Arabidopsis thaliana: one gene and its partners. The protein of the gene in region 1 interacts with the protein of each later gene in a pairwise test. Each region holds a gene or a part of one and is shown in the gene's direction. Other genes may lie near its edges. The genes, in order: PFA-DSP1, ATARD2, AT1G09310 and ARD3.

What was found.
Region 2: the proteins of PFA-DSP1 (region 1) and ATARD2 interact in a two-hybrid assay, tested with the Arabidopsis thaliana proteins (one large-scale study listed by BioGRID).
Region 3: the proteins of PFA-DSP1 (region 1) and AT1G09310 interact in a two-hybrid assay, tested with the Arabidopsis thaliana proteins (one large-scale study listed by BioGRID).
Region 4: the proteins of PFA-DSP1 (region 1) and ARD3 interact in a two-hybrid assay, tested with the Arabidopsis thaliana proteins (one large-scale study listed by BioGRID).

The regions. Positions count from the first base shown.
Region 1 is NC_003070.9:1,420,604-1,429,941, forward strand, and holds PFA-DSP1 (Phosphotyrosine protein phosphatases superfamily protein), read left to right. Parts: upstream 1-4,935; 5' UTR 4,936-5,056; coding exon 5,057-5,322; intron 5,323-5,412; coding exon 5,413-5,506; intron 5,507-5,631; coding exon 5,632-5,727; coding exon of another isoform or gene 5,728-5,796; exon of another isoform or gene 5,797-7,295; coding exon 7,296-7,353; intron 7,354-7,467; coding exon 7,468-7,511; intron 7,512-7,604; coding exon 7,605-7,790; 3' UTR 7,791-8,266; downstream 8,267-9,338. Other genes in the region: AT1G04990 (Zinc finger C-x8-C-x5-C-x3-H type family protein), read right to left, coding at 222-278, 370-527, 776-851; AT1G05005 (PPR containing protein), read left to right, coding at 8,445-8,658, 8,810-9,267. UniProt on the Arabidopsis thaliana protein: Cleaves the beta-phosphate at the 5-position of soluble inositol pyrophosphates.
Region 2 is NC_003075.7:8,424,203-8,432,189, reverse strand, and holds ATARD2 (RmlC-like cupins superfamily protein), read left to right. Parts: upstream 1-5,718; 5' UTR 5,719-5,829; coding exon of another isoform or gene 5,830-5,847; exon of another isoform or gene 5,848-5,914; 5' UTR 5,915-6,015; coding exon 6,016-6,039; exon of another isoform or gene 6,040-6,177; coding exon 6,178-6,289; intron 6,290-6,364; coding exon 6,365-6,459; intron 6,460-6,645; coding exon 6,646-6,760; intron 6,761-6,837; coding exon 6,838-6,962; intron 6,963-7,042; coding exon of another isoform or gene 7,043-7,045; coding exon 7,046-7,116; intron 7,117-7,229; coding exon 7,230-7,293; 3' UTR 7,294-7,487; downstream 7,488-7,987. Other genes in the region: ARD1 (acireductone dioxygenase 1), read left to right, coding at 323-340, 658-769, 850-944, 1,078-1,192, 1,276-1,400, 1,480-1,550, 1,664-1,706; PPD1 (TIFY domain/Divergent CCT motif family protein), read left to right, coding at 2,665-2,782, 2,926-3,065, 3,165-3,340, 3,806-3,896, 3,985-4,081, 4,448-4,507, 4,699-4,762, 4,828-5,015 and 1 more; ORC1A (origin recognition complex 1), read right to left, coding at 7,525-7,987. UniProt on the Arabidopsis thaliana protein: Catalyzes 2 different reactions between oxygen and the acireductone 1,2-dihydroxy-3-keto-5-methylthiopentene (DHK-MTPene) depending upon the metal bound in the active site.
Region 3 is NC_003070.9:3,005,414-3,012,377, forward strand, and holds AT1G09310 (plant/protein (Protein of unknown function, DUF538)), read left to right. Parts: upstream 1-3,496; 5' UTR 3,497-3,695; coding exon 3,696-4,235; 3' UTR 4,236-4,485; downstream 4,486-6,964. Other genes in the region: AT1G09300 (Metallopeptidase M24 family protein), read left to right, coding at 362-465, 580-646, 728-835, 1,199-1,291, 1,586-1,670, 1,877-1,947, 2,273-2,328, 2,508-2,718; AT1G09320 (agenet domain-containing protein), read right to left, coding at 4,857-4,871, 5,017-5,472, 5,605-6,081, 6,210-6,815.
Region 4 is NC_003071.7:11,229,844-11,237,676, reverse strand, and holds ARD3 (acireductone dioxygenase 3), read left to right. Parts: upstream 1-4,315; 5' UTR 4,316-4,357; coding exon 4,358-4,420; intron 4,421-4,508; coding exon 4,509-4,620; intron 4,621-4,699; coding exon 4,700-4,794; intron 4,795-4,935; coding exon 4,936-5,050; intron 5,051-5,137; coding exon 5,138-5,262; intron 5,263-5,366; coding exon 5,367-5,555; coding exon of another isoform or gene 5,556-5,619; 3' UTR 5,620-5,907; downstream 5,908-7,833. Other genes in the region: Iqd4 (IQ-domain 4), read left to right, coding at 958-1,026, 1,142-1,558, 1,661-1,885, 2,077-2,199, 2,277-3,026; AT2G26390 (Serine protease inhibitor (SERPIN) family protein), read left to right, coding at 7,186-7,566, 7,802-7,833. UniProt on the Arabidopsis thaliana protein: Catalyzes 2 different reactions between oxygen and the acireductone 1,2-dihydroxy-3-keto-5-methylthiopentene (DHK-MTPene) depending upon the metal bound in the active site.

The DNA.
Region 1 (9,338 bases):
GGAAAACATTTGGAGGAAAGACTAAACCAGATGAGGAATATCTTCTGCAGTTTCAATGTATATTCTTGCTACCTCTCTTATGTGAAGTTACAAACTAGAATCAGTTCTCTTACTTTAGCTTTATTCTGAACAAAAATCTCGTTTTCTTTTTAACTGTTTACAATGTACTCATCCAAACAACAACCAAGATTTGAGATAGTGAGAGATACAAGAAACTGCACCTCACAATCCGGCTGTCCAATTCTCTCAGGGAGCTCCTCCTTGTAATAAGCAACATCCTATTAAGATGTTTAAAAGCAGTAAACCCATGAGGCCAAAATTGCAACTTAAGTAAGACTCAGCCAAAATAAATGAAGTTTAGTTTCTGACCTGTGGAAGATGAGTAGGATGATTGTAACGGCAACTGCTTCCATAGCCACAGAGACCAGTTCTTAAATAGAATTGGCAATCTCTTTCACCGGGACGATCTGGATACGGATTCAGTTCCTCCACGCCGGTCTCATTTACTTTCATCTTCCTAAAGGCATCTACAAGATCATCATAACAACAACAACATAAATCTCAAAACTTGATCACTAGATAAAAAAAGCAAACAGAAAACGTAAATAAAACTCATCAAGAGATCAAAATTCCGAAATGCTACAAAAATTTGCTGAAATCACAATGAGAGTTATAAACGATGATCAAACTAGAAAACTCAGTATGATCTTTCAAACACATTACGGAAAAACCAGACCGGATCAAATGGATCTCTCGAGATTAGAAGAAAGTTAACCTTCGATTTTGTCGGAAGATCGAATCGACACCAAAGAGCTCTGTACATGCTGAGTGTCTGACATGGGGGTTCGCATGTAAGGAAAGACGATGATCACGATGATCAACAACAACAGAAGAAAGGAAAAATCACAGAGAAAGTGTCACGATGATCATCGAAAGAAACAGATTTTTGTTATCCTCTATTTTTCTGGGTAAGAAATGACGAGGAAGAACAGAGGTAGATAGATAGAAGAAAAAATTCAATTTTTCTTTTATCACAGACAGAGAATTATCGTTGGAACAGATCCATTTAATGCTAAATAATACAGAAATGTAGTAAATTTTCTTCCTTGTTTTTTTTGTTTTACACAGACACTCACTGAGATATTTCCAGAGGAAAAATTTCGGATCTTTGTTTTTTGTTTTTGCCCTTTTTTTTCTCCTCCGATGTCTCTGTGTGAAAAGGAAGAAAATTAATTAACCGTGTTTTTAAAAAATAAAAATGAATACTCCTCGTGTACAAGATAATAAATTTGATGTACCTGAGATGACAATATTACCCCTGCTTGGTCTGGTCTGATATCTTCAATGTGACGGTTCATTGTGAACCTAGCTAGACCTTGGCAGCTTGGCTCTTTTTCAAGTTTTAACCATCGGTTTTCCAGAGAATAATACTGAATTACCTACTGACTATACAATTTTCTTGTAATGAAAATATATGATTTTACTAAATAAAAATAAAATATCATCCAGATAGGGGTAAAAGGGTAAAATAGTCAGAACAATGTAATTCTTCTGGCACAAGAAATCTTATGCTTCGCAGTTTGTAAAGTGGTTGGGACCCACCGGTAGAAAAAGGGACAGAATCGGAGGTTACGATTCGCTGGTCACTGGAGCAGCGTAAGAGCTGTGATCTTTAGACGTCAGTATTACGCCACGTTAGCTTACGAGGTAGTGATCCTCTGCTCTGATGACCACCTATGTTCTTTTCCGTGATTTTGACGCTTTTCTCTTCTACTGGTTTGACCGTTCCAAATACTTTTTATTACACGTCAACAACATATTAAACAAAAAAAAGTAAAATGGATTCGGCTTTTTGTTATTTTTCTTTTGACTCTCCCCTTTAATTAGTTTCCTATGACTTCAAGTTTCCGTCTCCTACTAGATTAAGGTAATGTATGTGGAAAGGGTTTTTATAAAGTATGAATTTTGGACTCTGTATAAAAATGGAATTCCTGTGATTTTAAAATGAAATTAGAGTTATGTACATGCGCATTGATGGTGTATTTCCCTATTAGCCCTAAGAACGATCGTTCGTTAATTATACAATTAATCATTTATTGTTGAAGAGACAGAAACAACATCCAAGAGAGAGTCCAAAGGACGGATCCATTACAAAGACATGTGCAAGAGATTTTCTTAGTCTCGTACTCCTTTCGGTCGGTTTCTCCAACAAATGGGCCTTGGCAACAGGTAAAATAATACTATTGGGTCTGTTTTGTAAAATCTTACGTTTTCTGAAATGGAGGATGTTGATACCTTTACAATGGGCCTAAGGTCCCATAAATTGGGCTTTAAAGGGCCTCTTTTTGATACTTCCTTTTTTCATTTTATGTCTTGATGTTCGAAATCTTCTATGTAAACAAATTTTTTTTGGTTTTAATGTCAAGAGAATATGTGTGTGTGAACAATTTATAATGACCATGTTACATTTTCGTCTCGTATGTTTAAAATTCTTGTTTTTATTTGAAGTTTTCACATAATTATTTGAGGGAAATATTAAATGATCTTTTTGCAACTCTAATAAAACGTTAGTAAGTGGCATGCTAAATATATAAATGATAATACACCAAGAAAATTGAAAGTGAGCTAAATATATCATTCCTAACAAATAGTTGATAAATTCTCAAGTTGATATATTGTACTAGATATTAGTCATAAATAGAACCTAACTATGAACCAATAATAGGTCTACAAATGTGGGGCCAGAGACAAGAGAAGAAGTCACGACTTTGAATCTTGATGATCATGGATGAATGGATATCATGCATGAAAAAATTAAAATTTCTATGATATGGAAAAACGACAATAATGGACGAAATCTTTGTACGTCAAAATCGGAGACTTAGATCGTTAGATGCATGCAACTAATTAACAACTCCAATAACTTCAATTGAAAATGTGCGTATACTCACTCTCATGAACGGTCTTCTCGTATTGTTAATTCACTGTAATCCTTTTGCGTTTTGATACGCAACTTCGGAATGGGCAACGGTATAGCGAGGCTTACGTATGCTTTGGAAAAACATTAATTCATATATTAATGTTTTATATTCCGTGAGAAAATTTCAATGTTTTGGAAAATTAGAACAAATTAGAACAAATTCTCGAAAGATAAATTGAAGGCATTATGATATTTTCGTACGTTCTTTTTACGGAAAGTTCTTTAACGGCATCCAAAACGCTTTCGTACGTGGCCGAGTGCTCGCGGCGCAATAATCCTTGAGAATCATAAGGTATATTCCCTGGAATGTACCTTTTTTGTTTTTCTTATAAAAAAACTATCTGGTGCATTTTGTTTTTATGGAGTAATTTATCCAATTAAAGTCCAGTGTGGGACACTAAACATTACAAATTTTATGTCTTTAGCTTAGTTATCATCTGTTTTTTTTTAATTAGAAAAGAGTAGTTTTCTGGTGTGAGTGTTATGTGGAAGACAAATATGTGACGTGGATTCTAATAATGTATTGTCGTGATGTGGTTCTTTTTGCATTATTTCGTTTTGATTATGTAATAGACATATATTTAAATGGTGCGATTATGCACCGAAGAAAAACATTCGTCTCCATTTTTCTTTATACGAAATTTGACCCCAAAAAAAAGGTAAAACACGGCGTCCGTGTTATTATGTAGTATCATGTATGACAGAAATGGCAACTACAGTAGATAGTTTGGACCGAATTTTATTTTCACACAATTAAATAGTTATTTCAAGGCAGTAACAAATTGGTGGAAAAAAAAAAAAAAAAGGCAGTAACAAATATTAAAACCGAATATTGGCTAAAATTATACATTTCAAAACAATATTATGAAATTGTTTAACAAAACAAAATGTGAAAGGAACATAGAAGTAATTAATGTACTCAGATTACGATCCCATAGAACTTAAATAAAGGTGCGTTTATGAATGCCAGATGACTCAGATTAGTGATTGTTCTTCCCACTTAGCAGAGTAATTGCTCTTTGTCCTTTGGAATCTCTCTCTCTCTTTTTATTTCTCTGTGTTTCGCTTGGAATCTATATTTTCGCTATTTCCTGGAATGATGATATATATGTATGTTAGTATGTAGTAGTCAATATTTTTGTATATTGTGAATAAGTGACTTTTTCAAGGTAAATATAGGTCAGAAACTTCAAATTCAAAATATTAAATATTATAATATTGGTGAAAATATATAGTCAAAAAATGATTTTAGGTTCGGTTGATAATTTATTCAATGAGAGTGATTTACCCGAATAAGATGATTGTGTGTGAGCAAAAAGATTCCACAATGATGCCAATTTAAGCTTCAACAAGTGCTTTCCTATTAACAAGAACAATTTATGTAATATCATTTTTTTCGTTTGTTTTGCAAAACTGCAAAGTCATTTTATTTTGTTTACTTTAATAATCCTTGAAAATGTTATAACAGTTATTTCCTCAAATTAGACCATCATACTATTATTATTGTTATTATCAACCGTTGATAAAAATGGTAGTAGCATGTACAACTAAGATAGACCGTTACAAAATTCGTGTATTGTTAATTATTATATAGTTTCCGTATGTTGCTGTTTTCAGCTCAACTTGAGTAAATATAAAATATTAAACTGTTTATTCTAATATTGGATTCTTTTGTGTAGTGGCAACTTATTTTTTTCTAAGCTTTTTTTTTTTACAGATTACGGATTTCAGTATGAAATTGTAGATCCAATCAACTATTTTCACATATGCTAAAAGGTATCTAAAAAGTAAAAACACTTAACAGATTATAAACAAAAAAGCTTTTAAGATAAATGTCACAAATTCTTTAAAAATAAACAAATAAACAGCTATTGACAAACAAAAAATAAAAATAAAAAAGGAGTCCTTGCTGGGTCCATCTCCTTTGCGTTCTTTTTCGTCTGTTGAATTTTGAACAGAGTCACAAGTCTCTCTCCATATAAACCTCCCCAAGGTCGACGCTACGTAACGACCATCTCCATTACTCGACTCTCCTCACCTAAAGATTCAACCTTTTCTCTGTTTCCCAATTCAGAGATGAAGCTTGTGGAGAAGACGACTACTACAGAGCAGGACAATGGAGAAGATTTCTGCCGCACCATCATCGAGGTTTCCGAGGTTAACAGAAACGTGTTTCAGGCTCCGGGCGGTGAAGCTGATCCCTTTCGAGTTGTCTCCGGCGAAGAACTTCACCTAATTCCGCCGCTCAACTTCTCCATGGTCGATAACGGTATATTCCGGTCTGGATTCCCTGATTCAGCTAACTTCTCCTTTCTCCAGACTCTCGGTCTCCGCTCAATCATGTAAAAGCTCCTTCCACATTCATGACATTTTGTATACTATATATCAAACTTTCGAAATTGCTGATTTTAGGTTTTTTCGAATTTGTGAAGATACTTGTGCCCGGAGCCCTACCCAGAGAGCAATCTCCAGTTCCTTAAATCCAATGGAATCAGGCTTTTCCAGTTTGGTATTGAAGGCAACAAGGTAACCATCTTTCTTCTCCTCTCTCTTCATCAAGTCTCCGTTTTTAATTGCTCTGTAATTCTAAACCTTACTTGGATAGTTCACTAGGAGAATTCTCTGAATGGAAAAATCATATCTTGCTGCAGTGTGTTCCTGACTTAGACAACGAGATTTCCTTGCATTTATGGAATTCTAAGCATCAGAAACAGGGTCCCTTAACTAATGGACTTTCGAAAACTTTGGTACACACTACATATATTAACTGGAACACGATACTATTTCTGGAATATATCATAGTTCATTCAATTTGAAGGGTTTTATTTGCTTGATATTTATTGCCTAATTGTTCTTGAAAATCCTGTCTCATTGTTGTTTACTTTAGACTACTAAAACTGTTTCTGTGTTTTCTTTCTCTTGAATTTGATCCTTCATGGGCACTCTGTTCCAAGCCATATTTTATTATTATGAGTTTACCAGAAAAAGAACACATCTTTCTTTATTGTTTTGCCTCTTTGGCTCTTTCCGTCTCTCTTGACCTCCACTGATTTGGTCCCACTCTTTGTTTTTCTGCCCCTTCAGCAACTATTCCCCACTTGTTCTTTCTACTCTCTATTTATAAAATTAGATTATGGACTACGTCAAAATATTTGCTGAGCTACTTGTTGCTAGTGTTGTCAATGATCCCACTACTCAATAGCTTACTTTCTGTTGTTATTGTTTTCTTGGTTCATGTTTATTGAGTGTGCACTTTTTTATACAGATATGATATCTTATGAAATCATACATCAGCGAAAGTGTTTTTGATTGTGTACAAGTAAACCGTTTTTTATGGTAAAAACTTGTAGAAAGCGTGTTGATCGTGAAAGTGTCCATATTAGCTGTAAGGTTTGAAATCTAGATAAGGTTAGGAATTGCTGGGAAAATGATAGATGGTTACGTTGTAAGTCGGTTAATGTTGTTTAATACGTACCTTTAGTTCCTTTCCTTTTCTATGTGTTAGTGGCTCATGTTTGGGCAAATCGTTGGTAAAGTGATAGAATAACCAAAAACTTCACCATAGAGTCTTGAACTTATTACCCTCATGAGTTACCATTCGCCTTTCCTGAAGAGATGGGTATGAATCTAATTTGAGTTGATATGTTTGAAAGAAAATATGTTTGTTCTGGTATGCAGTAGCTATCATTCTCTCCCCCCACAGAATCCACCTTTTCCCTGTCGATTCTACTCCTAGGATAGTCGATTCTTTATGTGGGGAGTCGTTTAGATACTTACTACCATAGTTCCCTAGTTTTGCTTTTACACTAAAGATGAAAATAAAGTGGCTTTCTCTTCTTGGTGTAGTGATTTTATTGGAAGAATCTGGATCTCATTGACTTTTGTTTTTGTTTCTGGACTCAGATTCTTTATAATTAGTGTGACAACTTCGATCTTGATAGGAAACCTTTATCGCTGATATTCTTGGCTTGCTATGCTTTTTTCTTCTCATAGATTCGTCTTTCAATGGGACTTTGTGTTTATTCCGTGTTGTTGTTGTTGTGTGTGGAGATAACTTTTTGATATAAAAAAGTAAAGAATCTTTCTCTCAGTACGCAACCAGTAAAAGGTATCACATTAGACATGCTTCATAACTTGTAGACTTTGTCCTGTTAATGAACCTTTGCATGGTTGTCTCTCTCGACGTTGCTTGTGCATGAACCTTGATTATTAGATTGCTTTATCTTTTCCTAATCTGCTCAATTTAGTAGTGTGATTGATCTTTTGACATATAATCTTACAATTTTAAAAAGACATTTTTTCTTCTTATTTTCAGGAGCCATTTGTGAATATTCCAGACCATAAAATCCGCATGGCACTGAAAGTGCTTCTAGGTAACTATGAATCATATAGAAGCGCTGAAATAAAAGAACACATGTAACCACACTTTTTGTATGCTTTCTAATTCTAACTTGGTTTATTAACAACTCTCCTTTTAAAATCCTCAGATGAGAAAAACCATCCTGTTCTGATTCATTGTAAGCGAGGCAAGGTAAATCATTCACTCCAATCCTAAACATTTCATCTTTTGTCTCCACCACTGAAGAAGAAAATGAGTTTCTAAGTATGAATCTGGAATTTGCAGCATCGGACCGGTTGTCTTGTTGGTTGCTTGAGGAAGCTCCAGAAATGGTGTTTGACATCGATATTCGACGAGTACCAACGATTTGCAGCAGCGAAAGCTAGAGTTTCAGATCAAAGATTCATGGAGATATTCGATGTTTCCAGCTTCAGTCATATTCCAATGTCATTCTCTTGTTCCATCAGGTAAACAGGGGAAGCTAAAATCTTCAGATAAAAAGGAGAGATTAATCATATTAGAGTTCCAGAGGAAACATTCTTCTCTTTCTTTACCTTTCTCTGGAATCAATAATACTATTTCGAGAAAAGAAAAGGTTTTCGTTGTTATAATGACTTCACTCTGTTTTTTTACTGCTCAGTGTAAGCATAAAGGTAGATAATTACGTATATATATAAAGTAAACTATACAGGAGTTTGTTTAGGAATATATGTATTTTCTTGGGTTATCCCGAATGTTGCTTAACGATTATTAGCTCATATATTTCAATTCTTCAGAACATGATTTGTTATTATCGTGTGTAGAGGAAAATGCTACTACCATCAGTGTGTAAATAATTTGTTCAATGTAATGCTAAACCGAAATATATGGACTAATTTGATTTACTGACCAATCATTAACATAACTCTATAACTTCTTTTTTGAATCAGTTACGGAATTAATCATTATTTTTATTAGTTGAAAAAGACATGCTAGATGTGTGAAGAGTTTGTTAAGTCACGAATATGAAACCTAACTAAGGCCAGTACCAATTTTTAGCTATAAGTGAGTGATAGTTGTCCTTATAGGTCACGAATACGAAACACTCTACTGGAGTGTTGTTAATCATTTACTTTAATAAAAAGCATGACACCGATTCTTCAACAACATGCAAAGCGCATTCTTGCTTGCGGCTACAAGAGTTCTTTGTTCCGTTCCTATGCAACCTTATGGTCACCCGAGGCTAGCCAAACTCTGCTTATTCGGGTCAAAGCGTCTTTGCAGCAACATGAGAAACAATTGTACACCAGAGGGCTCATAAGAATCTTCGAGATTCGGATCGATTTTCTCAAAAACGCGAGTTTTTTTTATTTCTTCTAAATCCTGATCTTCAACCTATGTACCAATTTGTGGTTTCTTACATATTATGTGCTCTTGGTTGTGGTATTATTAGGCATCAAGATATATGGGTAAAGAAAAGGTGTGTACTCTGTTTCAGAAAGATTATGCAGCTCGGCTTTATCTGATTGAGACACTGTTGGGTTTAGAAGAAGCAGACAAGTTCTTCAAAAGTATCCCTTCAAACATGATTGATTACTCCACGCTCTTAACCTCTTACGCGAGATCTGACGATGTGAAACCCGACAATGTCACTGCAAACACTGTTTTGAAGGCCGATGTAAAGGCGATAAAGATGTTTATGAGAATGTGGGTTGATGAAGAAGGAATCAAACTGGAGAGAGACAGGATAGTTGAAATGGCAAAGGTTTACGTTAGAGTTTGTTTAGAGATATATGGTAACGTGGTATGGAATGCAAGAGAGTTGCTGCAAACTCTTTGGGATGACTTTAAGAAGTGCGAAGAGGTGTATCGAACAGCGGTTATCTCTTTGTCGAAACTGGATGATGTTGAAGGTGCAGAGGATATATATGGAGAGGGGGAAAAAAAAGAACAGAACGTAAGGGAACAGGTTACCAAAAAGGCAATGATGCTGTTACATGTTTTGAATCTGCTCTTGATCTTGATCACTTTGAGCCTTCC
Region 2 (7,987 bases), on another chromosome or scaffold:
GATGTGGCGGTTTGTATTATGTAAATGCTTGTCTTATAATGAGAGAGACCTTATTGATGATACCAATCTTTGAGGTCCAAGTAACACAACTTCTTTGTGATTGATATGTATGAGATAATTAATTTGTCTATTTTCATGGCATGATGTATGTGATATGTCTGAGATTTGCAACATTCTTCTATAAAGTTGAGAAATAAGGGTAGTTTAGTCTTTTTAACCAAAGATTTTTATTTATTTGATCTTTTCCCTGTTTTAAAAAGAAGAATCGAGTAATCGGGTGGTTTTGAAGACGAAGAAGGACTAAGACATCACGAGGAACACGATGGGTGAAGCGGTCAAGGTATGTTTTTATCTTTGTCTCCTCTGCTTCTGATCTGTTAATGCCAATCGATAATTCCTAGTTTTGCGATGCAAGCATGAATCGTCGATTGTTATCTGAGTGATTTGATTCATTTTCGACGATTTTCGAATCATCATAACTACTTCTTTTGCTCAAATCTCGCAGTCAGTTTAATGCCTATTCGTATTCAATTTAGTTATGCAATTGACGATTTCTCGAATTGTCTGAAGTTTTGAAGCTAAAATCAGATTAAATATAAAATATCTGAACATTGCCTCCCAAGGAATCTAATCCCATCTTGATGTGCTTTTGCTTAGGATGGGAGAGAAGAAGTGATTCAAGCTTGGTATATGGATGATAGTGAAGAGGATCAGAGACTTCCTCACCACAAGGATCCTAAAGAGTTTGTATCGTTGGACAAACTTGCAGGTCCCCCTCTTTGTGTGTTTCAATTCAATGTTGTTCTCTCTGCTTCTCTATTTTGTTTCACATGTAATGTTTGTGTGCAGAGCTGGGAGTACTTAGCTGGAGACTTGATGCTGATAACTATGAAACCGATGAGGATTTGAAAAAGATCCGTGAATCTCGTGGTTACTCTTACATGGTTTGTGGTCTTTATTTATTTACTATCCCACTAGACTTGAATGGTAGATGTTTATTTTTGTCCAAGTCTTATTTTAACTCTCTAGGGGTTTTCTCAATCTTGGTTTGATGATTAAAAAGTGTTCAAAATGCAGGACTTTTGTGAGGTATGCCCGGAAAAGCTTCCAAACTATGAAGTGAAAGTGAAGAGCTTTTTCGAAGAACATTTACACACTGATGAGGAGATCCGTTACTGCGTTGCAGGAACTGGTAAGAACTTCTTTTACTGGCGGCTTTACTCGTAAACTTAAAATTTCGATATAGTAGTCATGTTTTATTTTCTTGGGAAAAAGGTTACTTTGATGTGAGAGATCGTAATGAAGCTTGGATTAGGGTATTGGTAAAGAAGGGAGGTATGATAGTCTTACCTGCTGGGATCTATCATCGCTTCACTGTGGACTCTGACAACTATATCAAGGTGCAATGTCAGCTTTTCTTCTAGCCATTTATTTTATAGTTTGGGCTTGCTTAGAAAATTGAAATATCTTGTTGAACAGGCAATGCGGCTATTCGTGGGTGAACCGGTATGGACACCATACAATCGCCCACACGACCATCTTCCTGCAAGGTACAATGTCCTGGGTTTTCCCCTTTTGTTTGTTCTCTTATGCAAACAATGGGATATATAATCAAGCAAGAAATTCTGTTATTTTACGAGAAATAAATTCTGATATTTTACAGGAAAGAATATGTCGATAACTTCATGATCAATGCCTCGGCTTAGAGAGCTTCCTCTCTCTATATCTGGCTTTCTGAAACAAGGATCTATAAACAAGGCCTACAATAAAGAAAGCTTTCCTGTCAAGTATTGGATATTTATATGTATTCCTGTGTAGAATGATGGCTTTTGGTATGCTTGAGTTGTTGTAAACTTAGTTACACTCTCTGATATGTCTCTCTTTACCATCTTTGTCGTATCCCATATACGAAAAGATTACATTGGGATTCATATTGTCTTACGTTCGTTCCTATGTGCAATATGTTGAGTTTTTACACAAATCTCTATTCTTTTTTATTTGCTTTTCAAAAACCAACAAATTAGAAGAAACTAATAAGAAGTAATACGTCCAACCGCGTCAACTTCTTTGGTTTAATCTAAACCATGGTTCGTTTGGTTGTTGTTGTGTATCTTAACATGCTGACGGTTTTAAGGATGGTTCGTTTGGTGGTTGTTGTTATCGAACATGTTCACGGTTCTAAGGAAGAAAAGTGTGGTTTTGTGTATTTGTGGTTGGACATAAGATTTTCGTTTTCGTTTACATTTGTGGCTTTCTTTTGTAATTTCCTTTTAGAGTTTGGAATCTCCTTAAATCCGACCTACATTAACTCTATAGTCTATAGAATTGGAGTAATCATTTTATTCTCCTATCTTAATGGATTACAATAAACAGTAGTTGAATGGAAGAAAAAGGGGATATAAAAGTAAACTTAGCAAGTTTAGCAGCCATGATTAGGCTTATAATAATTTATGTAGACGTGGAGCTTACGTGGCAGTCTAGGGAGTTTCCCTGCTCCGGGAACAATTCCCCCAAATTGACTCCCCCATAGGAAAAACTATTCGACCTCACTCTCTCTCGCCACTGTTCCGCTCTCTCTCATTCTTCCTAATTTTACCCCCAAAACCTCCGATTATTACTGAAACGCCACTGCTCTCTCGCCGGGATTCCGGTGAAGAGGAGGAGATGGATGTCGGAGTTTCACCGGCGAAGTCTATACTTGCGAAACCTCTGAAGCTACTCACTGAAGAGGACATTTCTCAGCTCACTCGCGAAGACTGCCGCAAATTCCTCAAAGACAAAGGTTTCTTCTTCTTCTACCTTTCTCCATAGTCTTGTTTCCTTCTCCGATTTGCAGCGGAAGTCAAATTTTGAAATTCTCTACTCTGTCGGAGCTTTTTTTTGCTTGTTTATTCTGAGAATGGAGGCTGACACATGTCGAAATAGGAATGCGAAGACCGTCGTGGAACAAATCTCAGGCGATCCAGCAAGTTTTATCTCTTAAAGCTCTCTATGAGCCTGGAGACGATTCCGGCGCCGGTATCTTCCGCAAGATCCTCGTTTCTCAGCCAGTAAATCCGCCTCGCGTGAGATATTTACTTCGATTTTGCTTCTATTTCTCGTTTAAACTCACAGATTGAAAAAAGTGAAAATCTAAGTTGCCTTGTTTGTTCTGATATCTACAGGTCACAACAACGTTGATTGAGCCAAGCAACGAGCTGGAAGCTTGTGGCCGGGTTTCTTATCCGGAAGATAACGGCGCGTGCCATAGAATGGATTCTCCAAGATCAGCTGAGTTTTCCGGTGGGTCTGGTCACTTTGTATCCGAGAAAGATGGCCACAAGACGACTATTTCTCCCAGGTTTACATTTTCGTATTTGAATTTTTTTTGATACCTTTCTGCTTCTATGCATCTGGAACTGGAATGTTGTTTAATTCAAGAAAAGTGTAATGCATTGCATTATTAAGTTTGTGATATTAGGAAGTTTTTGGTTCAATATCACATCCTTAGAGACAGAATCTATATATGGTTCAAGGCATTGATGGTGGATTTGTCAGATAGTATTTAGGTTGGCCACGATCGTGTGATCGAAGATCATCTTCGTTATGTCTTAGTATCCTGGATCTCTTTAGAAATGGAAAATAATAGTCAATATGACTGATGTGACTTGAAATAATAATTAGTTACTTGAATTCCTTAATGATATTTTGTAAGTTAGAGGGTTTTTTCCCTAGTCCATCTACGAAAGCTTAAGAAAAGGTTTTGCTGCATGTGCCTGTTGTTCTACAAGCATATTAAACATTCTTGTCTGTAATCTTGCATCAGAAGCCCAGCTGAAACAAGTGAGCTCGTTGGGCAAATGACGATATTCTATAGTGGAAAAGTGAATGTGTATGATGGAATACCACCTGAAAAGGTAAATCAATAACATTATTCTGTCCAGTCTGAAAATAGAAATTTTGTTGGCATGTTTTTGATCATTCATCCTTTGTATTGGTTTGCAGGCCCGGTCAATCATGCACTTTGCAGCCAATCCAATTGATTTGCCTGAAAACGGTATTTTTGCTTCCAGTAGAATGATTTCAAAGCTCATAAGTAAAGGTAAGCTTTTGCTAAAGTGTCTGATCTGTTTTTCAGTTGATAGATAGATGATTCAAACATGAAATGATTTTGTTTTGTGTATCATCAAACTGGAAAAAGTTCATGGACCAGCTTTTCTGACGCAGTAGAGCTTTTTTATTTATTTTCTCTTCTTGCAAACACTGCTTTTGTTTTGTCCAACTTTGAAAGGAGGCATGGGTAGTTGACCAAGGAAGTATGTCTAAATGTTGCATTGTGCTATACTACCTTGCGTAAAATATCCAAATGCCTCTTGCATGTTTTTGTGATAGTGATTCCACTTTCCTTCTTCAGAGTCTAGTTTGAATTAGTCAAAAATCAAATTGAAAATGTGAAATCTTATTGCAGAGAAGATGATGGAACTTCCCCAAAAAGGCCTTGAGAAGGCGAATTCTTCTCGTGATTCTGGTATGAACAGTATTCATATTACCTTAATGATTCTCGGAGCGAAACTTGATCAACACATCTTCACCTGTGCAAAGCTATGCTAATGTTGTTAACTTGGAGGAAACTTGGCTTGCTTGTTGTTCTGCATGTTATATGACCTGTGAAGTTTATTAATCTAACCGTCGTTCTATGTTTTTTGGGTCGTTCTTAAGGTATGGAGGGCCAGGCGAACAGAAAGGTATCTTTGCAAAGATATCGTGAAAAGCGGAAAGACAGGTGCATTTATATACTTACGCTTATTCCAAAATCGCTATAAACTGATATGTTTTCGTAATGTGCAGAAAATTCTCAAAGGCCAAAAAGTGTCCAGGAGTTGCGTCCTCTAGCTTGGAGATGTTTCTGAATTGTCAGCCACGGATGAAAGCTGCATATTCGCAAAACCTAGGCTGCACCGGATCTCCACTGCATAGCCAGTCACCTGAAAGCCAGACAAAAAGTCCCAATCTTTCAGTTGATCTAAACAGTGAAGGTAAGAAGAGAATCATATATAAAGCTTTGTTAAATCAGTGGTTTGGATGATTTCCCTCATAACTCTCCTCGCTTGGTCTCCAGGCATTTAACAAGATACCGAAACGTGGAGATGCTATAAGCTGTGAATAGGCGTTGAAACAGTTGCTTGCTTGTAAGCTCAAAGATATGAAGAAAAGAAACCTCTCTTCGGATCGGCCTTCTTTTGTGTTTCCGGGGTTTTGCACCCATAATTTTTGGTCTATAGTTTTGAGTAGAGCTTAGTAGGTTAGTGGTAATTTCTTGTTTCTGATTCTTTTTGTGAGGATATAGTCACAGAGAGTAGAGACAAGAGAGGTGAAAGAAGGGCTTTCATTTTCTAGGTGTTGTAATGTGTAAATGATGTCTTACTTGACACTTTTAACGAGAGAGACCTTTTAGCCAAAGTGTTTCTTACTCTCGACTCGAGTCTTACTTTGACACCACCAAACTTCTCTTCTTTTGTCCATTTTTAACCCAGTTTTTAACTTTTAACTTTGTTAACTTTTTTACAATAATTACCACTCTAACTAACGTATTTACATTTTCTCAAACCTCAAAAATGTGATAAATAGTCTGAAACGGATATATGTGGAGGCGGCATTTCCCTCGCCGCACGCCGGCGGATGGAGGGTAGTTTAGTCTTTTAACCTTTTTCTCTGTTTTTGTCCCAAAAGATAAAACGAAAATGACTTCTTTTGAAAAGGAGAGAAGGCATATATCGCGTGGATTTGAAGACGAAGAGGAATCATAAAAAGCCTAACGAAGAAGACGAAGAAGAAGAGGAACAAACAACCATGGGTGAAGTGGTTAAGGTAATCGTAAATCTCTTGCTTCTGATTCTGATTTCGTGAAAGCTCATCGGAAAATTTCTTGTTTCAGCTATGAAAACATGAATCGCCGCCGATTGTTAATTAAGTGGTCTTCAATCACTGATCACTATTCCAATTTTGATTTTTGTTTTATTTTAATCATCAAATTTGATGTTTTCTAGTTTCACTTGTTGTGTATGAAATTCAGGCTTTGTCTTGGAGGTTGCAATCGAAAATTTCACTAATTGCTGAACGTTTTTTGTTTCTCTTTCAAGCTTAGCATCATAAATTTATGTTTTCTTGTTGTGTTTGTGTATGTGTGTTTTTGCTTAGGATGGAAGAGAAGAAGTGATCCAGGCATGGTATATGGATGATAGCGAAGAGGATCAGAGACTTCCTCACCACAAGGATCCTAAGGAGTTTCTATCTTTGGACAAACTTGCAGGTCTCTTTGTGTGTTTCAATTCAGTGTTCTTCTCTCTGTTTCTCTATTTGTTTCAGATGTAATGTTTGTGTGCAGAGCTGGGAGTACTTAGCTGGAGACTTGATGCTGATAACTATGAAACCGATGAGGATTTGAAAAAGATCCGCGAATCTCGTGGTTACTCTTACATGGTTTGTTTATATAGACTTGAATGCTAGATGTTTACTTTTGAACAAGTCTTGTTTTAACTCTCTAGGGTTTTACTCAATTGTAACACTTACTCTACTGAATGTATTTAGGAAAATTCGTTGATGATTTGCAAATTGTTTTATGTGCTTGAGTCTTGGTTTGATGATGGAAAAGTGTTCAAAATGCAGGACTTTTGTGAGGTATGCCCGGAAAAGCTTCCAAACTATGAAGTGAAAGTGAAGAGCTTTTTCGAAGAACATTTGCACACTGATGAAGAGATCCGTTACTGCGTTGCAGGAAGCGGTAAGTACTTTTATTGGCTGCTTTACTTGATTTAAGTCGGTATCTATATTCTCAACGTTTCATTTTCTTGGGAAAAGGTTACTTTGATGTGAGGGATCGCAATGAAGCTTGGATTAGAGTATGGGTAAAGAAGGGAGGTATGATAGTCTTACCTGCTGGAATATATCATCGCTTCACCGTAGACTCAGACAACTATATCAAGGTGCAATGTTAGCTTCTTCAGAGTGGTTAATTCATCATATATATATTTGGTTGATTAGAAAATTGAAATATCTTGTTGAGCAGGCAATGCGGCTTTTCGTGGGTGAACCGGTCTGGACACCATACAATCGCCCACACGACCACCTCCCTGCAAGGTACAATGTTCTGTTTTCCCCTTTTGTCTCATCAAAAACTTACTCTGCAAAAGTTCATCCAAGAAAAGACACGAGAAAAGCTGTTTATGGATATCGAAACGGCTATTTTACAGGAAAGAGTACATCGATAATTTCGTGAAGGTGAATGAAGGTGGTGTCATAGACGCGTCAGCCTAGAGGATTCTCAGTCTTATGCATCAGATTTCTATAAACTAAGCATACAATAAAGAGAGCTTTCTGTCTCATGTTGGATATTATGTCATCTACAGATCCACTTGTGAAGAAACTTTGATTCGTGTGGCTTTGGCATTATGGTTGTGTTGTAACTGTATTTATAGTTTATACTCCAGAAATCAAACTGTGTTACATTATCAATCTCTCCAAAGTTTTCCTTAAACTAGCAAAAAATCACAAGTAATTGGCCAACCATGGAAGATCCTTATTGTCTTTCAATGCAAAAGCAACATCATCACTTGGAAAATTAAGCTGCAGCTTCTGCAATCTGTGCTTCTCTCCAGGTTCACAAAGAACGATTCTGCATTCACCAAGATCACAACCGATTTTGAGAAGAATGTCCCAACCGGGAAAAGCTTCACCATTGGTTAAGCAAATAGACGATACTGTTGTTGCTACTCTGTCAAAGCTTGTCTCTGCCATTCCTGTTTTGTAAAGCTCATGAACCATAGCCGTCAAGAAGATCCTACTCAGTTTCGATACACTCTTCATAACTTGAATATGAGGTGCCTGAAACATCTCTTGAATGGCTACTTCAACATCTGCCATAATCACCAGCTGACTCTTTGCAGATATGTTACTCTTCTTTAGACGGTAATCCGCTACTTCCGCTGCACGCCTGCATATCTCAAGCGCG
Region 3 (6,964 bases), 1.6 Mb from region 1:
AGTTGGTTAAGTTGATAACTTTTGCAGACAATTGTGTGTGTATATAGTGAATTTAATCTCAAGAATTGATCTGACAAAGTGACGAACACACCCATAAAAAGCTCCCAAGCCATGGCCTGATGGGACAATTTTGGTTGAGGGTGTTTTATTGTGATTGGAGGCTCATGAAAGCAATGCCTTGCTCAATGATATGTGAAAGTGAATATATTAGAAATTTTACGTTTGTCTTGTGGCCAAAGTGCTAAGGAAAAGGAACATAGAGCCAATAAAACGTCATGAACCATTTTCTACATATTTGTTGAAAATAATAGCTATTACAGACAATGAGCGTATGGAGTGATTTTGATCTTTTCATCCTCAGGGTCTTCTGAAAACAATGTTACATTCAAAGGGGTTTCCTGATGAAGGCATCTTATCAGCCCAGGTTGAATATGAGTGCCGGGTAAGAGGTGCTCAGCGAATGGCGTAAGTCTCGACAATTATTCCATGAATAAATATGTGATTCAGGGTCTATTACAATAAGTATTTCCTAGTATTCTTATTCTAGTGACAAGAAAAATGACATGATTTATTCCTCAGGTTCAATCCTGTAGTCGGTGGTGGTTCAAATGCCAGTGTTATTCACTATTCACGAAATGATCAGCGTGTAAGTTTGACAAAACCCTATTTGATTGCTAGTACAGAGATGTTCCTGAAACCAGTATCTTCTTTTTATAATTATCTGCAGATTAAAGATGGTGATCTTGTCTTGATGGACATGGGTTGTGAGTTACATGGTTATGTTAGTGATCTTACTCGGACATGGCCACCTTGCGGAAAATTCAGTTCTGTTCAGGTTGATGTTTCTGCTGTCTCATCTTTCATCTTTTTTTGTCTGGTAGTTCAATATTCTTCTGTTTACGTTTGTGCTTTGCCGGTGGTGTTTGTATGATGCAAACGAGAGATAAACCTTACTTACTATCTCATTCTCTACTACCAAACTTCTTACTTTTTTCTGAGATATACGTTTCACAGGCTAGCTTTTTCCTTATAATATTGATTTAGGAAATCTTCAGAATTTGGACATGTGCAGGTTACATAGTTTTTTTTGGTGACCTTCGCTCGATTTCACAATTATGTTACACAGATGAAAAGTAACTGTACAGCTGCTTTCTTAAAACTTTCTCTATCAAAATATTGACATTTGTGTTTTTTCCAGGAAGAGCTATATGATCTTATACTTCAGACAAACAAAGAATGCATAAAACAATGCAAGCCTGGTACAACCATCCGCCAACTAAACACATATTCGGTAATTACAAACTATCTTAAGCCGTGTCTTTGTACTTAAGATGTATCAAACACACAAAATGTACCGTTTACTCTTAACAGGTTTGCTATGATGTGAAAATATTATTCTACTTCTGTCGAAGGCTTGTTAGCAAATATTTCAGAAGCTAAAATGGATCAGAGATTTCATACATACCATTTCGACAAAAAAAAAAAAAAAAAAAAAAAAGATTTCATAAATACCATCAGAAAACTTAAAAGCTTTGTTTGCAAACAAAATTATGTTTGGACTCAGATGATGCTTTGTGGTTTGCAGACCGAGTTGTTGTGTGATGGACTGATGAAGATGGGCATCCTGAAAAGTCGTAGACTGTATCACCAGCTGAATCCGACCTCCATAGGTATGCATTATTGAACCTCGATCACATTAACTTATTTGCAATTTTTGTCGATGAAATACAATCAACTAAGGCTGATTGACGTGTAGATGGTAAAATCCTTGTTATTGTCCCGCATTATGCTGTATAAAAGTTATAATATAACCAAAATATACTGTATGGTTGGGGAAAAACTTATCTAACAGAGCTCTCTTCTGGTTAATAAAAAGGCCACTACCTTGGGATGGATGTGCATGATTCTTCTGCTGTGGGATATGACCGTCCTTTGCAACCTGGTTTTGTAAGTAATACTACTCTCTCGAGTCTTAGTTTTTATAAGCAACCCAAACTCAGGCTAATAAGATCTTCACTTTTCTACATACCCCCTGCCTCAAACACTCTGCTTGTTGATGCTAGTCCATTAAAACCGATATGTGCCCTTAGAATCTTGATCGTAGAAGTTTATGTATTTGTCATGTGATGCCATTGGGGTCCTTACGTTTGAGACAAATGGTTTGATGGTGCTATCAATAGAATCTAAATTACATCAAATGACTGGCTTTGGTGTTTGCTAGATAATGATCTTTCAGACTCTCGATGTCAACTTATGATCGCTGTTTGGACAGGTGATTACGATTGAGCCAGGAGTCTATATTCCATCTTCATTTGACTGCCCTGAAAGGTACACATGCTCTCTTTAGACTAACTTCATGTAAAAGCGTGGTTTTGTAGGAAAGTTTGCAGCCAACAAGTATCAAACTGTGTAGATCTGAGTGGTTTGACTGCAAATCGACCGCAGGATATGACATTGATCTATCGACCATGGTTAAGTGACTTTACTATTGAAATTTCTCATTGCAGATTCCAAGGGATTGGGATAAGGATCGAGGATGACGTACTGATCACTGAGACGGGCTACGAAGTGCTCACAGGGTCAATGCCTAAGGAGATCAAACACATAGAGACATTGTTGAATAATCACTGCCATGATAACTCTGCGCGAACTTCGCCAGTTTCTCTTTGCAAGGTTAAAGGCTTGCATACGAACCGTAACCCAAGAAGATTGTTTTGAATTAAACATCATTGATAATAATTCAAACGTAAACTCCTGTTCCTTGCGTTTGACTCATAGAATGTATCAAAGCATTTTGAAGAAATCTTACGCATTCTGAAGTGTGGAATTTGTAAATAGCAAAACCAAAAGACATCGAGTTACTACGAGAAAGGTCACATATCACAATCAATAAGTTAGGAGTTGGAACACTTATAGTTATGTGAACTTTAGTCTTTATTGGTTATGGTTGCTTTTATGATAGAAGAAATAAATAATGCACTATACAGTAAATAGTATATGTCATCCTTAACACGTAACACTAAACGCCCAAGAAATAGATGTTCTATTCGATTAAAATCATATAAAAAATAATTGAGGAGGCCGTCGGTTACTGGTTAGCAGGTGGAGAGAATGTGAAATGATAGGCACTGCATTTATATGGACGGGGCCATGCACCACATCACAATAATCATCATCATTAATATTGTGATGATGATAGCCATATGAACGATCATGTAAGAGATATATGGTTTAACCCGAAACTGGAACACAGAGCTGACAAGACGTACCCATAAACCTGCCCAACCATGGCCATTAATGATTTTACATGCACCTCATCTTCAAGAATCAAGAGTTTAGATTTTACATTATGGTCTTGTCGGTTTTTTCAAATTTCTTGTAGTAGAAGAACAATCGATCACGTCGTTTTCGATAGTGATGTTTTTTACCGTTATTTTATAATAGGGTTGGTCTCAATTTGATACCAAAACTAATAAATTTGCCAAAATTGTATGAAGTCAAAGGTATCTTCTCAATCCGAGTGTATTTCACATACAATTTAATTTCTAAACATGGTGGCATTCTCCGTAATAAGATCAGGAAACCAAGGGCAAACCCACAACACGTCAGCTATATATCACTAGGCTAAGTCCCTTACCTCTCCACAACACAACTTCAGCTTTAAGACAGCTAAAACTAAATACAAAGAAACAGAGATGGGTTTGGTTACAGAGGAGGTGAGAGCTAAGGCAGAGATGTACACCGGAGATGAGATATGTAGAGAGAAGACAAAGTGTTTCCTCAAGGAAATATCTATGCCCAATGGTTTATTACCATTGAAGGATATAGAAGAGGTTGGGTATGACAGAGAGTCAGGTGTTGTATGGCTGAAGCAGAAGAAGAGCATCACTCACAAGTTCACAGAGATAGATAAGCTTGTCTCCTATGGAACCGAAGTCACAGCCATTGTTGAGACCGGGAAAATCAAGAAGCTCACTGGAGTCAAAGCCAAGGAACTTCTTATTTGGGTCACTATCAATGAGATCTATACCGAGGAACCCCCTACCAAGATCACGTTCAAGACACCGACCACACTGTCCAGGACTTTCCCGGTCACAGCTTTTATAGTCCCAGAAGAACCTGCCAAGGAGGAACCTGCCAAAGAGGAACCTGCCAAGGAGAAGAGCAGCGAAGCCACCGAGGCCAAGGAGGCTGTTGCAATCAAGGAGGCTGTCGCAGTCAAAGAGGCGGCCTAATCAGCTCAGCTTCAGCAGATAAAAGAGACCCGAATTTTTAAGTGTACTTCAAGAATTTGAACAAATCATGGAGAGTTAGTGTTTCTCACTGCTCTAACTATCATGTATTATCTACCTACCACTTGTTGCTGCTTGTTTTACCTGTAATAAGATATCAATATCATCCTGTTCCACTAAAACTTATCCTTAATTATCTATAAACTACAATACAGCTGGTTCTGTATGTCACTTCAAAAACATGGGAAACCTCTTCGCAAGCAAAACTGAGAGCATACACTCCTAACATTCATAAGATGCTAAACTTCGTAGGTAATATGGCCTACCTCTTTCGAAAAATATTTGACAATAGGATGGATAATCAACAAGGCAAGGAAGTAGTGTTACAGCAAAAACTTGTCTATCAAATAATCAACCGAAATCAGGAGCAATGAGAATCGCACTATGTCATGGAACAAGAATAAAATATCAACTGGTTGTTGCATCTTAGTCACTCATCATAACTGCAATTATCTACAATAGCAAGGGAACACCAGGGTTAAGACTAACTGACTAAGAGATACAAGTACCTCAAAGAAAAACAAAACTTGAAATCCCAAAATCCTGACGAGTTATCCAGCCCATTTACACCTTCTGAGACTGAAATCAAAATTAATGACAGCAACTTCATCAGTAAAAGCTTGATGAAAAATGACTATTGCAGGAACGATGCTGAAACCTTAGATATAAGGGGAAATAACGAAGTTATATGTGATAAAATGAGTTGATCGTTTTAGAACCATACCTTAAAAGATGTTATCCACTTTCCATCAATCCATTCCTGATGTAGCCTTAGTTGAGAGTGATGAAATTTTAGCAGCTCTTGAGTATTTTTAAAGAGAACCAGGTAAGATGACTTTGCAAGAACCTTTCTAATCACCCCAACCCACCATCCATCATTATACAAAGCATTAACTTTGTCATGCCTCTCAAATGGACTAACCATGACACTCTCTAGTGGCAGAGGCCTTATCCGTGAAACATTAACCTCTTCTCTCAAAGGCTCTTTCCCATCTTCAGCTTTCAGATTATCATATTCTACAAGGCATTTGTCCTTTCCTCTGTATTCAATAAGTTTTGCAAGAAACCAAGAATCTTCAAATCCTTCTTCCTCAGGGCTAACCTCGATCGGAGTTCCAATGCTGAACGCTTGCTTCTCAGTTGCTTTCTTGGGTCTCACGTTCCGGTTACATGAAACAGTCTACACATCAAAATAAAAACTTTAAACACACATATTTGGGGAAGAATATGTCGCACATAAAGAAGAATGGGATAAGAATGATCTATGTGAACTTGTCTAGAGTTCATAATTAATATGGAAATCATACAGAACCTTTTCCCTCTTTATCTTCCCTCCTTTCAGTGGTAGCTGCCAGGTCCCGTCAACCCAATCTTTATGCAGACGAAGCCCCTGCCTTCCAAACCGCATCTTCTCTTGTGATTGCCTAAAATATATACCAACCGTTCCATGCTTCATACCATCTATGACAACACCTACCCACCAGCCGTCATTGTAAAATGCATTAATCTTGTCACCAACAGCAAAATCAATATCCTCATCCCTTGGTGGTGGCGGCCTTATGTGCAGAAAATCGGTTTCTTCTTTCAAAGGCTCTATACCATCTTTTTCTCTCAAGTCTCGGTACTCAACAAGAAATTTGTCTTCGCCAACGGGTTCAACAACTTTAGCTGCAAACCAACACCCCTGGAAACCTTCCTCATCGCTGCTAACCTCGACAACAGTGCCACTGGAAAACATTTGTTTCGCGATTGCTCTGGTAGTTTCTAGATCCACTCGGGCTAAAATATCCTGCATTTTATTACTATCATGATTAAAGTGCATTCTCATAAATTGCTCTAGAAGAACTAAAGCAAAAGTCTCCACTAAACAACTTCCACAGAAAGGTTATCAAGTATCATTGAGAATGTGTTACCTACCTCCTCGTCTTCTGAGTCGTCTAATTTGTCTTCCTCTGATTCATCTTCCTCTTCTTCTGTTTCCTCTAATGGAGGCTTCCAAGCTCCATCAACCCATTCCCTATGAAACCGTAACTCATCTTTCCTAAACCGAATCTGTTCCTTAGAGCTCCTAAAGAAAACACTGAATTTCCCATCATCCAGAACCTCAGTCACATCCCCTTCCCACCAACCGTCATTGTAAAACGCGTCGACCTCTTCCCCAACCACGATCTTCTTCTTCTTCTCTATCTCAGACATTGGCGGGGCCGGAGGACGAAGCTGACTCATGTCGACAACTTCCTTCAGTGGCTTCGTCCCCTCTTTATCGAAGAAGAGCGTCGTATACTCGACTTGGCATTTAACGGAATCCTTATCTGAGGAAGATGGGATGGTGATTACTTTTCCCATGTACCACGAGCCGCGGAATCCAATCTCGTCGGAGCTGATTTCTACGGCGGAGCCAGGTTTGAGGTAAGAAGGGAGACGCTTTCGATTCGCTCTCGTAGCCATGGAATTCTTAGGAGCAGCTTTCTTCCTCTGCTTCGCCGGAGATGAAACCCCAAGAGATCGGCGAGGCCGCAACATGGCGTTGCAAGTGTCAAGGATGAATCGGGGAAAGGAAACTGGCGGGAAGAATTGGTAGTGAGAATCAAAGAAAGGAATCAGCTTTTTAGGGTTTTGGGGTTTGATTTCTCAATTTCAAAAAGCTTTGCTTTTGGGATATCAAAAGTCTC
Region 4 (7,833 bases), on another chromosome or scaffold:
CATATATTTATTTATGAAGAGTATTTATTTATTTATTTACATACATTAGATTTTAAATTATAAGAATTTATTTTAGTCTCCTCATCGCGAGAAATTTGATTTAATATTTTATTTAGGTTTCATAATTTATAAACTTGACGATGGTGATGACATGCTATATTGCAGAGTATTTTTTATTTAAGGGGAGGTAAATGGAGGTAATGGATAAAGTTACAAAACATGGTGATTTGGTTTCCTGCCGAAAAACATTTTCCTAATTTTTTTCAAATTTTCGAATAACCCTTTGTTTATAACTGCAAAATTGGGATCTTGAACCAACTCTTTTACCTATGAATTTTTGGGTTTCTAACGTAATTATATTTGTAGCTTGACAACCAATCTCTCAAGTAGCCCCTTCTCTTCAACCAACCTATGAATTATTTAAGTTACTATGTGTTCTTCATTTTGGTTTTGGGATTTGGTTTTATAACTTATTTCTTGTTGATTAAGAAAACTCTCAACCAAACAAAATAATGGAGGGTGAGAGTGAGAATCAAACCCAGAGTGGAATGGATAAAGAGCATTAGCATCATCAAAACTTTAAACTCAATTTTCTAAATTTGTCTAACAGATAATTGTTATAAAAAAAGCTGTAATTCTAAAAACCACAACACCAGAAATATTAAAAAAAAAAAAAAAGATAAAAATAACATATAGAAAGAACAACTAAGCAGAGAATGAAAATAAAAAAAAACAACTAAAAAGAAGTTATAATTTATAACGTATCTGTCGTTAAATCTGTTGAATCGTTCTTACAAAACACAATCGTTACAAAAGTCAATTGGGTTCCCACGAATCGGTGGGGCCCATCACGACGAGGTCTCTTCACATAATCTCATCTCTTCTTATTGATTTCACATAAAGTGTTTTGTAAGAAAATGTTTCAATGAAAGATTTGTCTGAAAATTTCAGGAGAAAATGGGTAAGAACTGGTTAACATGTGTCTCCGTGGCTTGTTTATCTCCAGGGAAAGACAAAAAGAATCAAGTTGGTGTTTCGAATCTGTTCTCTAATTATTGATTATGATTATGTAACCTGATTATGAAATCAAGATTGCTAATTGTTTTGATTTTGGTCTTTTGGTTTTGCCTTGTTTATCAAGAAACCCGAGAAACCGAAGAGGAAATGGTCGTTTGGGAAACAAAAGAGTAGAGAATCTTTTGATTTCCCTCTGGAGGAGACTCCACCGGTTGACCCTTCACCTTCTTCTGTTCATCGTCCATATCCACCGCCTCCCCCGTTGCCGGATTTTGCTCCTCAGCCGTTGTTACCACCACCGTCTCCACCTCCTCCTCCTCCGGCATATACCATCAATACAAGAATCTATGGTGAGTCTAAAGAATCAAAGAATAGACAAGCTTTAGCTCTTGCATCGGCTGTTGCAGCCGAAGCAGCTGTGGTAGCTGCACATGCTGCCGCGGAGGTTATACGTCTCACGACCCCATCAACACCTCAAATTGAGGAATCAAAGGAGGAAACTGCCGCAATCAAGATCCAAAATGCGTATAGATGTTACACGGTATACAAAAAAATCACTTTTTTTTTTTTGGACAAAATACAAAAAAAATCACTAATTCCTCTTATTATGAAAGACTTAGTCTAATATTTTGAAATTTCATAGGCGAGACGCACTCTTCGTGCGCTGCGAGGAATGGCTAGACTCAAAAGTTTGCTGCAAGGAAAATACGTCAAAAGACAAATGAATGCGATGCTTAGCTCAATGCAAACTCTTACACGTTTACAAACACAGATTCAAGAGAGGAGGAATCGGTTATCTGCAGAGAACAAAACTCGTCACAGGCTGATCCAACAGAAGGGTCACCAGAAAGAAAACCATCAGAATTTGGTAAATCTCGTTACATTTTTTGTTGAATGAATGTAAAATTTATTCAACCATGTTTACAATATATGCAACCGTTCATCTAAAAATATGACAAAATTTAAAAAGAGTCATCCCATTGTTATGTGGTAAAATCTCCCTACATTTTACCACACTGGGTGAACCAAAATTCTGAACTGGAGCATATTTTGTTGTAGGTTACCGCGGGAAATTTTGATTCCAGCAATAAATCAAAGGAACAGATCGTGGCAAGGTCGGTGAATCGAAAAGAAGCTTCAGTAAGACGAGAAAGGGCATTGGCGTATGCTTACAGTCATCAGGTAAATATAAATTAAAGACAACATCATTGTGAACTTAGTCATAGTTGTTTATATATTGATGTTGGAAAATAAAACAGCAAACATGGAGAAACTCTTCAAAACTTCCACATCAGACTTTGATGGACACAAACACAACAGATTGGGGTTGGAGTTGGCTTGAGAGGTGGATGGCTTCTCGTCCGTGGGATGCTGAATCCATTGACGATCAAGTTTCCGTTAAAAGTTCTCTTAAACGCGAAAACTCGATCAAGAGTTCTCCTGCCAGATCTAAAACACAAAAGTCAGCTAGCCAAAGTTCTATTCAATGGCCTGTAAACAATGATACAAAGAGTAGAAAGATCGAGGTTACTAATCGCAGGCACAGTATCGGTGGTGGATCATCTGAAAACGCTAAAGATGATGAAAGCGTTGGTAGCTCATCCTCGCGCAGAAATTCGTTGGATAATACACAAACTGTGAAATCCAAGGTTAGTGTGGAAACAACAAGCAACGTGAGTAATGCACAAACTGTGAAACCCAAGGCTAATGTGGGAGCAAAAAGAAACTTGGATAACACGAAAACTTTGAAATCCAAGTCTAGTGTGGGAACAACAGGAAACTTGGCCAACACGGAAGCTGTGAAATCTAAGGTTAATGTCGGAACAACAAGTATGCCAAAGAAGGAGGTTGTTGCTGATAAGAAGAAACCTCCACAGATGGTATTGCCAAAGAAGAGGCTTTCATCTTCTACTTCTCTTGGGAAAACAAAGAAATTGTCGGATTCGGATAAAGCAACAACTGGTGTTGCAAATGGAGAGAAGAAGAGAAGAAATGGTGGTAGCAGTTAACCTAAAGTAATAGCCTTATCTAGACCAAGATATTGCTTTGGTGGCGGTTTGATAGATTTAGCATCTCAAATGTGAGATTTGTTTTCTATCAACGCAAATAGAAAAGAGAAAGAAAAAACAAAAAAACAAAGAGTGTATTTTGAAGACCTTATTTTGATTGTTTTCTTTGGGTGAGTACAAATGATGTATGTCTGTTTCGGTTTGGTGTTTATCTGGTGGATTATTTGTTTACATTTTTTAAAAATTTAAACCATTTATTTCGCGTTAATGTTTGAAAATAGTCGTTGAAATCGATTCAAAATGACATATGCAATGGTTACAAAAAGTAAACGAGAGTCTACGTGAACTGGAGCTGGTTTGTGACAAAGTTTGTTATCAATTTAAGAGTTTGTTAAAACCAAAAAAAAAAAACAAGACATTGTATCGGGATTGTAAAAATTTGGATTGTGGAGCTCTCAATGAATATGTACAATTGAGTCTATTGCTGGATTACGTTCTGGCCGAGACATATCAATCAATCAGACAGGTTGCTATGAATTAGTAAACTTCATGTAGTGGATCATTCTTCCTCTTTCTCTGTAATTTGTCCGTAATAACATCATCAAACTCAAGTTTCTCAAAGTTAATTTTAATTCAATTAATAACTTCGAATATCACACATATATGATTCATGCCGTTAATATTTTTCTTAGCATGGTCTTACTGAAAATAAAATTTAAATATTACTATGAAAAATTATATAAATCACAAAACTAGTTTGGTTTTCTTTTGTGTAGAAAAGATTATCGGAAATAATTTCATGTTTATTTATTTATTTTTACATCAAAATTTTAAAATAGAAACACAATTTTCCATTAAAAAAATTCATAAGATTCCAATGAGCTTCCAAAGTAATTTTTTTGGAAGCCTATATAGTCTTAGATTTTGATAATATTTATGAAAAAAAAGCTAATTCTGAAGTACACTGAAACAAATAACAAATACATGACGCTTCCATTTTTATTTTTTTCTAACATGAAGCTTCCTTACACGTAGAAAGTTAAGTACATCGAAACAAATACCAAAGACCTGAGAAAGTGGATAGAAGTCTTATTATTAAGAACAATAATTGATAAGAACAAAGCATCTTATTATTTAACAAATGCAAATAGAGTAAATAGAAGTCGTGAGACTTCGTGACGTCATCACTTCTTCGTCATCTCCTTGACACTTCGTGACGTCCTTGTCTTCTCGATAAAGGTGCCTAAGAAATGGAAAGAGTGGTTTTGTGTTCTTACTTTACATTTTTGCACACAGAAAAATGCTAGCGGTTTCCTTTTTTATCTATATAAATGGTTTCTTTCTTTCTTCATTTTGAACACAAAAGAAGAATAACCATGGGTGAAGCCGCTAAGGTAATATAAACTCTTCCTTCTTGATTTAGGATCTATTCCCATTTACTTTAGAAGTGTTTTTGCTTAGCATCAGATTGATGTTTTCTAGGATCAAACTGAAGAAGTGATTCAAGCTTGGTACTTGGATAATAAGGAAGAGGATCAGAAACTTCCTCACCACAAGGATCCTAAGGAATTTGTATCTTTGGACAAACTTGCAGGTCTGTGTGTATCTTCATTGTTGCACATACTTTTATTCTTTCACGTAGGTTAATAATGTTTTTTTTTTTTTTTGTTCAGAGCTTGGAGTACTTTGCTGGAGACTTGATGCTGATAACTATGAAACCGATGAGGAATTGAAAAGGATCCGCGAATCTCGTGGTTACTCCTACATGGTTTGTGACATTTATTTGATGCCTTTTTTTAATATCTTCCTTTGTTTGGTCTTTTTTTTTAACAAAAAATAAATCTTCGTTTGTTAGTTGATTATTAAATATTCGTTTTTGATTCGCAAACATTTGGATGTTTGGTTTTAGGACTTATGTGAGGTGTGTCCAGAGAAGCTTCCAAACTATGAAGAAAAAGTAAAGATGTTTTTTGAAGAACATTTACATATTGATGAAGAGATCCGTTACTGCCTCGCAGGAAGTGGTAGGTACTTTTATTCGCTGCTTTAGTACTTAAATAAATTCGATATGGTGCTCATTTATTTTATTTTTTCTTAAAAACAAATCAAAGGATACTTTGATGTGAGGGATCTCAATGATATTTGGATTAGAGTATGGGTAAAGAAGGGAGGTTTGATAGTCTTCCCTGCTGGAATATATCATCGCTTCACCGTGGACTCGGACAACTATATGAAGGTTCAATCTTAGCTTCTTCTAGTTATTAATTCATACTATATGAAGGTTCAAGTAATATATTTTTGGTTGCTTAGAAAATTGGAATTTTCTTATATATTGAACAGGCAATGCGTCTTTTCGTGGGTGGACCAGTGTGGACTGCTTATAATCGCCCACATGACCATCTTCCTGCAAGGTACAATGATGTCTTGTTCTCCCATATTGTCACGACAAAGCTTACTAGATCTGTAGTTATATATCTAAGCAAAGAGGCGACAAAAGTGTTTATGTATATTCAAACGGCTATTTTATAGGAAAGCGTATATGAAAAAATTCTTGAAGGTGATTGGGGACCGTAACATAGACGCTTCAGCGTAAAGAACTCTCGGGGATCAGATTTCTATAAGCTAAACATATGTTTAGATGTTGTCTTTAATTATGCTTTATTATGTTTACAACATGGAAACCGAAGACATTTTGGTTCATGTGTCTTTTGGCATTATTGTTGTGATTGTAATGTAAAGAAGAAGGAAAATGACAATATATGAAAGCAAGAAAATATATAAAACTATCGGTCACTATTAGTCTCAACCTACTGGTGTCTATGCATAATACATGATATACATCCGTTACTGTAAATAAATAAAATGATTATTTGAATTGAACACATTACTTATGGAGTATCCATAATCTCATGTTTTTAGAATTTGTACCCAATGATAAATAAAATCAAACAAAAGAATTTCTAGTCTTTTGTTATATTCTTGCCTCTTGGTGACTAAGAAATCGATACATTTAACTAAAAAAAAAAAAGATAAAAAAGAAGAAGAAGAAATCGATACATGTACACATCAAGTATATGTCTTGTTATTTTCCAGTTCATGTTTACTCCCTCTGTTCCTAAAAAAATAATGTTTTGGGTTTTTCACACAAATTAAAAAATGTAACTTTAATATTATTTTTATTACTTTTCTATTAATCTAATAATATAAATTTTACTTCTCTTTTCTCTCTATTGGTTACTAATAAAAATAATAATAATATTAACCTACAACATCAAACTTGATGAAACAAAAATAAAACTCAAAACATCAAACTTTATAGAACAGAGGGAGTATAAGATTTGGCTGCTTCAGACATTCATCTCAACCTTTTTCTCTTTCTTTTCTTTTCTTTTCACATGCACGTTAGTATATATTGTGGTGTAAAGTGTAAACTTTCGCTAGGAAATCACGTTCTCTAGCAATGATTTGGTTTTAAAAACATTGTTTTCCCCCTCTAATAAGATTATTACTCTGTTTTTTTATTTTGTTTCTCTTTGATATAAGAGTCGGAATCCACCAATCCAATTGACAGACGGTTCCAAAATATACATGTAGGAGACACCAAAGCAAGAAAGATTTATGTTCAAATGAGCTAATTAACATAGAAATATATTTTAAACTGAAAAAGATAGCTCATTGGAGTTTTATTTAAGTGCTAGAAAGTAAAGAAAAAGGAAATTTACTTTAGAGAATAGCCAAGCTATGATAGATTCCTAGATTGAGATATAAAATGATGAAAAAGAGAGTTGTTCCAAATGGCAACTCCCAGAGTTATAAAATCGATTTGGAACAATTGGTTTATGCATATGCCTTATGGGTAAAAGGATGAAAAAGAGAGTTGTTCCAAGTAAATTGACCCATAAGGCATAAATTAACCAAACTTCAAGACCTAGTTTATAGTTAATGCCAAGTACTTCCAACGAAGTCCATGATACGACTTTTCCACACGCGGTACTTTATTACTTCTAAATCATTTCGATTGAATAATTCATGTGCAGAAAATATATTTAAAACAAAAAATAGCTACTAGTATACTTGAAACAAGCTATTTCATCAATCATCACATCTGCATATTCAGAACCATTCTTATATCTTCCCGTACACCTCTTCTTGGAAAAAAATGGAGTTAGGAAAATCAATTGAGAACCAAAACAACGTCGTGGCAAGACTAGCAAAGAAAGTCATTGAAACAGATGTCGCCAATGGCTCCAATGTTGTCTTTTCACCGATGTCAATCAACGTTTTGCTCAGCCTCATCGCCGCTGGTTCTAATCCCGTCACCAAAGAAGAAATCCTCTCATTCCTCATGTCACCGTCTACGGATCACCTTAACGCGGTCTTGGCCAAGATCGCGGACGGCGGCACCGAGAGAAGTGATTTGTGCTTATCTACGGCTCACGGTGTCTGGATCGACAAGTCTTCTTATTTGAAGCCTTCCTTTAAAGAGCTTTTGGAGAATTCCTACAAGGCTTCTTGTAGTCAAGTTGACTTCGCAACCAAGGTAACTTTTTTCGTTAGGGATAAATTTTGCTTCAATTATTATGGGACCGAAACTTAGACTAATCCCTATAACATAGATATATAAAGGTGAATGTTCGTGTTATTTAAGACGTTTAATGTGGTTACGAAGGAGACGGCTATATCACATTCTCTTTTTTTATTTCTTCAATTTCTTGTGTATATATGACATCCAACTTCACTAATGATTGGTCAATTTTTATCGCTTGGTCATGAAGCCTGTTGAAGTGATTGATGAGGTAAATATATG